Linked DNA regions of Caenorhabditis elegans. The protein of the gene in region 2 interacts with the protein of the main gene of each other region in a pairwise test. Each region holds a gene or a part of one and is shown on either strand. Other genes may lie near its edges.

Region 1 (5,033 bases), on a different chromosome or scaffold from region 2:
CTGAATGACCTTCATGTTTTCATGTGTTATCTCGTGTCAAACACACATGACACCTGGCAGACGACATGAAAATAATATATTTTCCCAGCTTATCAATCTGATTAATAGATGGAAAATTTCAGAAAGACACGAAAAGAAGTACAAAGTTTATTTTGAAAAAAAAGGACAAATATTTTCAAGTCAACAAGGTGTGTCTGGAACAATTCGTTTTAAAACAAAAGTTCAACCGAGGATCTATTGCAAAAACAATCCTTTTAGATACATTGCACTGGATATTTTTTGAAACGACTATTAAAATCAAATCTAAAAAGTATCTAGATGTCAAACAAAACTCCCAGAAAAACGGATGTGCGCCTTTTATACAGTAACTTCAAAAATTCATTGCAGCAGAATTTTCATCGATTTTTGTCGTGTCGAGACCCGGTACCGTACTTTTGGGACGAAACTCGCGAAATTAATCTTCTGGATAATAGTAGAAACGTATGTCGTTTTAGAAGGTTTGTTTGACATTTACATTTTTTTAAGATCTGATTTTTTAATTTTGAATCTAAAAATGAATTCATAAAGTTTACAGACTTTACAATTAAAGATTCTTTTTTTTTTTTAATTTTTTATCCTCCCCTGTCTCACTATTCTTATGTATATTGGCAAGCTAAATTCTGATTTTCAATTTATTTTATTAATGCGAAATGAAAAGATTCACAAAATTGGAAAATTACAATTTTAGACTTCAGAAAAAATAAAAAAATAAAGATAAGACAGTACAATGGAAAAATTTAGATATTTGAATTTTTGCAATTCTGCAAAACAGTCTGAGTTTTCTGATTTGATAAGAAAGTTGTTATGAACAATTTGAACAATTTTTTAAATATTTGGAGGATTCATGAGAATATTGAAATGCATATTATCGTTTGGAAAGTCCTTTTGAATTGGAATTACAGTGCTGGTTGAGAGTACAAGATGGAAGTTGAATCCTCTGTTTTTGTTATCTGAAATTGTTGATAAATATCTTTGAACCAAGGGATGATAACTCACATTCAACAATACGTTTAAGATTGTTTAGCCTCTTCCTCAACGACATCAAAATCGTCTTTCTCTTGGTCATCAGAGCTCTCAGACGAACACTCATATTCTTCAATGTCTTTGAGAATTTCAGCAAGATCACTCAAAGAATCTTCATCCGAAAAAATAGATCCGGGATAGTTGCTCTCAGCAGTTTCAACTTCAAATTCGACTTTTCTTGTAGTATCATCTTCGCTTTTCTTTCCATCTTTGACTTTATTAAAAATCGGTTCAAAACGATCCGAAAAGAAAGCCCTATTCGTTTCGAAGTTTATAGTTTCTTGCTTCATCATCTCTTCAATTTGTTCCTTTTGTTTCATGAGCGTTTCCTTTTCAACTCTGAACTTTTCCTTTTCTCTGATGAATTCTTGACGTGAAGCCGAAAGATCGAATCGAAGTTGCTTTTCGTGTTTATCGAGGCTAGATTCTGCTTTCTTGTAAAAGCGATCGCGGAAAGAAACTTTTTGAACTTTTTTACCATCAGTTGTATCTTTCAGTTTTGGATGCATTCTTTCATAAGTTTGCGGTTTCCTGCTAGACATGTGCTGAGCATACCATGGGTCCTCAATAATGTTTCGATCACTTTGTGCATTCAAATATCTCGAGACATTGTTCTTTGTTGCGATGGCTTGAGGGGTTATGCCCAATCTCCTCAAAGGAACCTGGATAGCTCTGTCACGAGAAGAAGCAATTGCTTGAACTTGACCGTTTTGATCTTTTACCTCCTCTGGGTTTTTGACAATCAAATGTTCGGGGAACAAAGTATTTTCTGACACCAATCGAATCAATGCATGCTGAGCATGAACTCCGGCAGCTTCACATGTTTCGCACAAATCGTAGTTGTAGCATATAGCACACTTGAATCGATGCCCAATAATCAAATCTTGGCACTTATCACATGAAGCCTCGTGAACTTCCTTGTTTTTGAAGGAGTTTTTGTCTTCTTTTTTGCGACACTGATTCTCAAGCTTCATTTCGGAAATATCCTTTTGAAGAGATTTGATTTCCAGTTGTTGCTTGTCTAGAAGCTCTTGAAGTGAGAGTTGTCCTTCAGCAATCTAATATAGTTTTCTTTTAGAAACAAGGGAAACGAATCAGAAAAATAATACCTCAGTATCCTTCATAACTCTCCATGCCTTGTCAGATTTCATCGTTGCCTTACATTCATTCACAGTCCGACCCAAATCATCCAACTTGGCAATTACCGAGACATCCAAGATTCTGACATGAAGAAATAGCTGAGGAAGTTGAGAATGATAAAAGCTCAATTCCGGGCGAATGTTGTTGTAGATCTCATAGCCACTGGACAGAACTACAGGGCCATCCTTGGTAACTGAAAATCATATCTGGTATAAGATGACTGACATTTTATATAGTGCCAGCTGAAACTCTATTCGTATTTCTTTTTTTGTAGTTTCTATTTAAAGTGAGCACAACTCAAATACTAGCTCATTTAGATTTGAAAATTTTCAACTAACAAAATTTTGCTCTTAACGATTTCTAAAATTATGTTATCAAACAAATTATCATAAATTCTTTGGAAAAAGTTACAGCAACCTGCGGTTGGGTTCAGATTAAATTTGATAAAACGATATATTTTCCCTATAACCTCTATTGTTCTACTTTGTTTTTTGTCAACTGTGTGTGCAACAACAATAGTTTTGAAACATCAAAAACTCAATTTTTAGACAGGTCAAATCACATCCAAATGCTTCAAAAATCTTGTCAGCCGATGTAACTTCTTTTCATAGAAAAACGGAAGCGTAGATAAAATTCAATTTTTCATAATTATAATTTTTCAGTTGATCAAATTTTGTTGGACATATTGATTATTGTGTTATACTATTTTGAACAACTCGAATAGTATCTGGAAAACCTAAAATAACCAATGAAATTCGCGCAGGCACTGTGCATCTAAATTTCATTTAAAAAAAAACTTACTGCAGCTAAACTCAAAATCAGCAGCCGAATGGATGGTGGAAGATCCCAACTCGACGAACGTTTTTCTGAGTTGATCGAGGACTTGACATTGACATGAGAGTTCCAATACAGCATTCTTGTTGATATCCTCATTGTATACACGCCAATGATAGTTAACCTTGACACGGCATGTTTTGTTATGTTCACGGCACAAAGGTATCATTGGGATGACAATTGGAAGTTATCAAGTTATACCAAGTTTCTGGAATTATTTATCGAAGTTCTAGAAATAGTTCAATATGAGAGAAAAATTAAGGAAACATTAATACATATTTTGAAACAGTGTGCAATTTCTATTTCGCATAATTTCTTTGCCTGTTTTTTAGAGAGAGGTTGCGAGTAAGATATTTATAAACCTAACAGAAAATGGCATTATAAACATTGAAGATATATATGCATAGAGGTTCTTCTGCCAAGAACGTTTGGGAAAAGAGCAAGGAGAAGTAGGAGACTCAGAGACAAAAGTGTTCCCCGCGCGGAAATGAGTGGTACCTCGAAATAGAAATCGATAAGCGTGTGCCCACTTGTCCGGGGGTACAAGGGTCAATTGGATTATGAGGTATTAAGTTTGGGCTATTATTATTAGAAATGAACCATAACTGGAGAATCTGTGGACTTTTTTTCTCCCGTAAAAAATTCCCCCATTTTTGCTGAAACGATTTTATTCAAAGTGACTCATCTTGCAAAATGACGAATCACAATTTACAATAATTTTTCGGCGACAGTTCAAAGGCACACGCTGTTTTTTGAGAGGGTCTCGCCGCGATCTCTGTTAAAATTATCGTTATAGGGGCAAATATTTACAGATTTGTTAATTTTTGGTAGAAAATGAAGTTTATAAACAACAATTTAACTTCTGTGCACAGAGAAAATCAGGATTTACCAAAAGCACCTAGTTTGGAAGGATTGACGTGAAATTCCAATCGGCCGCCTGCGCCTGCCTGCGTTTAATTTCGAAATGAACAAAGACTAAATATAAAGTGTAAAAACAGATTGCAACCTTCATTTGCCTTTTCTCCTCTCCGTCTCTTTCTCTCTCTGTTTTCGTTTCCTCTCTCCGTCTCCCAATTTTTCATTCTATTTCGGTTTTACATATGTGTATTCAAAAACGAGATAGAATTTTGGAAAAATATAAAGTAAATTTGGAGAGCGCCTAGAAACAGAGAAAACACAGAAAATCACGCGGAAAAGCTGTCGTACGCGGAAGATGTGCATGCATAATGATATCACTGAATTGGACATTTTTCGGTGTAAAATACAATTTATTTTTACAACACATACAATAAAAGGTAAAATGACCAAACAATATTGCATTTAAGAGAGAGAGTGAAAAAGGCTTGGATTTACCCAAAAATAGGGAAGAAGTACGGGATTGAAATTGAAAAAAAAGTGAGAGGACATACTTAAACACTGGATAAGAGAATAATTGTTCGTTTTTGAAAATTGCCAAGTAGAATAAAATTAAATCAAACTTTTCGCTTAGAAAAATTGGCAATTGTCAAGAACAAACAACCCTGAAGATTCGAAAATACAATGCAAACTATAATAAACAAATCATCAGGGGTGGTGGACGTTTTGGAGGCGCATCAGACCAGAGGCGCTCACGATGGAGTTTAGCCAAAGGTCGTCACAAAGCTGCCTCTACTAGCGACCACCGACGGTCCAATTTTGAAGAGAGTAGGTGATGAAATAAAATGACATTGAGATTTTAGGTTTATTTGTTTTTTTTTTTGAATTCATATTTTAAAAAAGAGATCCTAAATAAAATCAATGTTCATTTCATTCCAAAACCCAAATTCTCCCCCAAATTGGACCCTTCTTAACCTCAGCAACCAGAAGCTTGTAATTCCTCATCTCCTTCCTTCTTTTCAAGAGTCAACGTGGTGAAGTTCTCCGCGACAGTTGGATGAATTCCAATGAGACGATCAAAATCTGCTTTCTTTGCAGCCAATTTCAACGCGATTCCGAATCCTTGTGTCACTTCACCAGCA
Region 2 (3,752 bases):
AGAAAATCAGTGAAATAATGAGAATAAATTTTAAAAAATTAATGAAAATACTACAAGCGCGCCCCAACGAACGAGTTAAATTGGCAGTAATTTAAATAGGAATTAGGGGAAAACTGAGATTTTTTCAATTTTCAAAACAAAAAAGCATATAAAATCTAGAAAATTTTTTTGAATTTTTTAAATCATAATATTCGGTCATCCCACTTAGCGTAGTCCACCTATAAATATTCCAAGCTTCTATATATAAATGTTCAGGTCATCATGGCAACCAATCGTATCGACATTCTCGACCCCGCACTTCTCCGTCCCGGCCGTATCGATCGTAAGATTGAGTTCCCGGCTCCAGATGAGAAGGCTCGTGCCGATATCCTCAAGATTCACTCGCGCAAGATGAACTTGATGCGAGGTATCAACATGGCCAAGATCGCCGAGCAAATTCCCGGAGCATCGGGAGCCGAAGTCAAGTCGGTGTGTACCGAGGCTGGCATGTTCGCGCTCCGTGAGCGACGTATTCATGTGACGCAGGAGGATTTCGAGATGGCTGTTGGAAAGGTTATGCAGAAGGATTCGGAGAAGAATATGTCCATCAAGAAGTTGTGGAAGTAAAAATAAAAATGCAAATTTCGACTTTTTTTATCGATTACCCCCCCCCCCCTTTCACTGATTTTATTGTAAAAAATGGACCCTATTTATTTATTGTCTTTGACCTCCCGTGCTCTCCTTCTTTTGCTGAATAATGCAATCTTTATTCGAAAAAAAAACGTCTAAATTTCTAACAGGATTATTCATTGCTTCCCATATTTATTCGAGATTCCCTTTTCGTCTAAAAAGTCGGAAATCTCTCCGTCTTTGTGCATTGAAATGAGAATATCACATCCGCCGACGAACTCTCCCTTCACATAGACTTGTGGAATTGTTGGCCATTCGCTGAAAATCTTGACACCTTCTCTTAGCTCCTGATCGGTCAGAACGTTGTAGTCTTGGAATTTTACATTGTGGAAGTCGAGAACCTGAAATGGGAAAATGTGATTTTTTGGGATTTTTTCTTTTTTTTTTTAAAGCGAAACTATTACGGTAGCACTAAATTCTGAGAATACGTATTGCACAACACATTTGACGCGCAACATATGAAATATCTCGCAGCGAAAACTACAGTAATCCTTTAAATGACTACTGTAGCGCTTGTGTCGATTTACGGGCTCTATCAAAGCTGGTAAATCGACACAAGTGCTACAGTAGTCTTATTTAAAGGATTACTGTGTAGTTTTCGCTACGAGATATTCCATATTTTGCGCGTCAAATGTGTTGCACAGTACGCATTCTCGGCATTTTGTGGTTTTGTAATATTTATCATCGAATTTTTGTCGACTTCAAGCTAGGAAAGCTCGAAATAATGAGATTTTTCAAAAAATTTTAAAACAGCGGCCTTTTAAGCTCGAATTTTACCAATTTTACCAAAAGAATCGAATAAAAATCAAATGCTGGCCGTTGTGATACGGAAAAACTGGTAAAATTTATTTTGATTTTTTTTCTGAATTTTGCAATTTTTTTCAAAAAATTTGAAGAAAATCGTTCTTTTGAGGCGATTTTAAGCCCAAGAATTACACTAAAAATGCTAACCAATTAGCGATTCGCTCGGCCCACTTTTGAACCAATCAGACGGTATGGGCGGAGCGCGAAGACGCTGATTGGTCGGAGAGTAGTCAAATTTGAAAAATTGCCTATTTTGCAATTTTTTTTTGTTGAATTTTCCACTTTTTTCCACAAAATCTCCATTTTCCCGTACCAATTTAACATTTCTCGAGAATCCACACGCTGGCTCCTGTTGTGTTCCCTTCATAAAAACGACAACATCATCTTTTTTCACGATTCCGTCGATTCGTTTGCGAACTTCATCGCTAAGTCCGCCACCACCGGCTGATGAAGCTGAAGCCGAGAAGTTGGCTGCTCGAACCATTGAGAACGCTTGACGTGATAGTACGCGCAACATGGCTGGTTTTTTTTGGCTGAAAATCGGGGTTTTAGAGGAAAATTTAGGAAAGCAATTACAAAAAACCACCAAAAAATCGCGAAAGATATTTTCAAATTTTGGCTAAAAAATTGATTATTTTTGTTGAAAAATTGGAAAAATAATTTTAAAAAATCTATAAATTTTCAGTAAAAACCGAAATAAAATCGGCCACATGATTTTTTTTCGGGCGTCATAGGGCACTATTTCGCAATCAATTGTTCAATTTTTTTAAATAGAAATTGATAATATTTAAAATTTCAAAATAAGCATTAGTTTTTAAACTCTTACAAATCGGAATAATAATAAAAAATTAAAATTAGAAATTTTTTCTTCGAAAGGAGAGCACTCGTGTGTTATAATAAATACCAGAAATTGAGGTGAGAACTTGAGCGGGAAAACAATAACCGAAATATTTTGAACCCGGAGGAGGTGAGAATTTACAAAAAATGATGATAAAATAATCAAATAATTAAATATGAATTCCTAGATAAAATGGATAGTAATTGAAATATTCACAAGAATGAATGAGATTTTTTTTCTTTGAGAAATTGAAAAATAAGATTTTCGAGTAAAAGTGCTAGAATGAGGGTAAAATTGGGGGTGGGTTTTTCGCAAAAAAAAAATCATAGAAAATATTGAGCAATCGGTTGCTTTTTCGGCTCTCCTCGATTCTCCACTGTTGCCGCTTCGAAAACTTCAAAAACGGGGTCGCTGTCGATATTTTCCTCGGTGACCTCCATGATTGCCGCCACGTTTCCGCATCTGAAAATTCGATGTTTATTCTAAATTGTAAATAGGAAGGCGCAGTTTCGGGTTTGCAAGCCTGCGGCGCGGTGTCGATTTACGGAGGATTTTGTACTACACGTGGACAAGTTTTGGTCTATTTTTGCGAATTATTTTCGTCTTTAACATTGAAAATGGTTAATCAGGGTTGATTCCGACTAATAAAATCGAAAAACGAGCTTTTTTCTGAAATTCTAAAAATTTTGGGTTTTTAATTTTCCGATATTTCGACTTTTTTTAAAAAGATTTTTCTAAAATTAGATTAAATTTTGAAAATTTTTCTTCTTTTTAGGTGGCTTTTTTTTTTGTTTTTTCTCATCAATTTGAACAAAATTAGAATTTAAAAAAAAAACGAATTTTATGGTTATTTTCTAACAAATTTTGTGTTTTCGGTGTTTCGATTTTACAGAAAATCGGCAAAAAACTTTTTTTTTCAATTTTTCGAATTTCCTTGAAAAACATCGAAAAATGACACCAAAAACCGGTCAGAAAATAAAAAATTTAAAAAAAAAGAAAATTTTCTGACCGTTTTTTTGGTGTCATTTTTCGATGTTTTTCAAGGAAAATCGAAAATTTGAAAAAAAAACATTTTTTGCCGCTTTTCTGTAAAATCGAAAAACCGAAAACACAAAATTTGTTAGAAAATTAACCTGTTTCACTTTTTTTCCTTAAAATTTTACTCGAAATCATGACAAAAGTACAATTTTGATAAAAAACATTTTTTTTTGCGTTTTCGGTTTCGAAAAAATCCTTTTTTGTCGGATTCAGACCATTCTGAACGCTTTTTTTTCACAAAAATAGTCAAAAAACAGTAAAAAATCGGGTTCTCAGTTGTCCACGTGTAGTACAAATCTGCAGGCTCTTATCTATCTGTTTCGACAGTAAAATTCAATTTTAATGCATTTTTTGGAGCAAAAATTCACAAAAATTCTACCGATAGCAGTAATTGGGCGCCGAC

Evidence for each region.
Region 1: the proteins of glrx-5 (region 2) and gldi-4 interact in a two-hybrid assay, tested with the Caenorhabditis elegans proteins (one large-scale study listed by BioGRID).

The regions. Positions count from the first base shown.
Region 1 is NC_003282.8:7,015,837-7,020,869, reverse strand, and holds gldi-4 (ZZ-type domain-containing protein), read right to left. Parts: upstream 3,245-5,033; 5' UTR 3,206-3,244; coding exon 3,004-3,205; intron 2,396-3,003; coding exon 2,172-2,395; intron 2,121-2,171; coding exon 1,050-2,120; 3' UTR 1,036-1,049; intron 990-1,035; 3' UTR 660-989; downstream 1-659.
Region 2 is NC_003281.10:12,371,852-12,375,603, forward strand, and holds glrx-5 (Glutaredoxin-related protein 5, mitochondrial), read right to left. Parts: upstream 2,007-3,752; 5' UTR 1,991-2,006; coding exon 1,787-1,990; intron 1,011-1,786; coding exon 786-1,010; 3' UTR 731-785; downstream 1-730. Other genes in the region: rpt-6 (26S proteasome regulatory subunit 8), read left to right, coding at 256-606; pph-4.2 (Serine/threonine-protein phosphatase 4 catalytic subunit 2), read right to left, coding at 2,635-2,773, 3,729-3,752.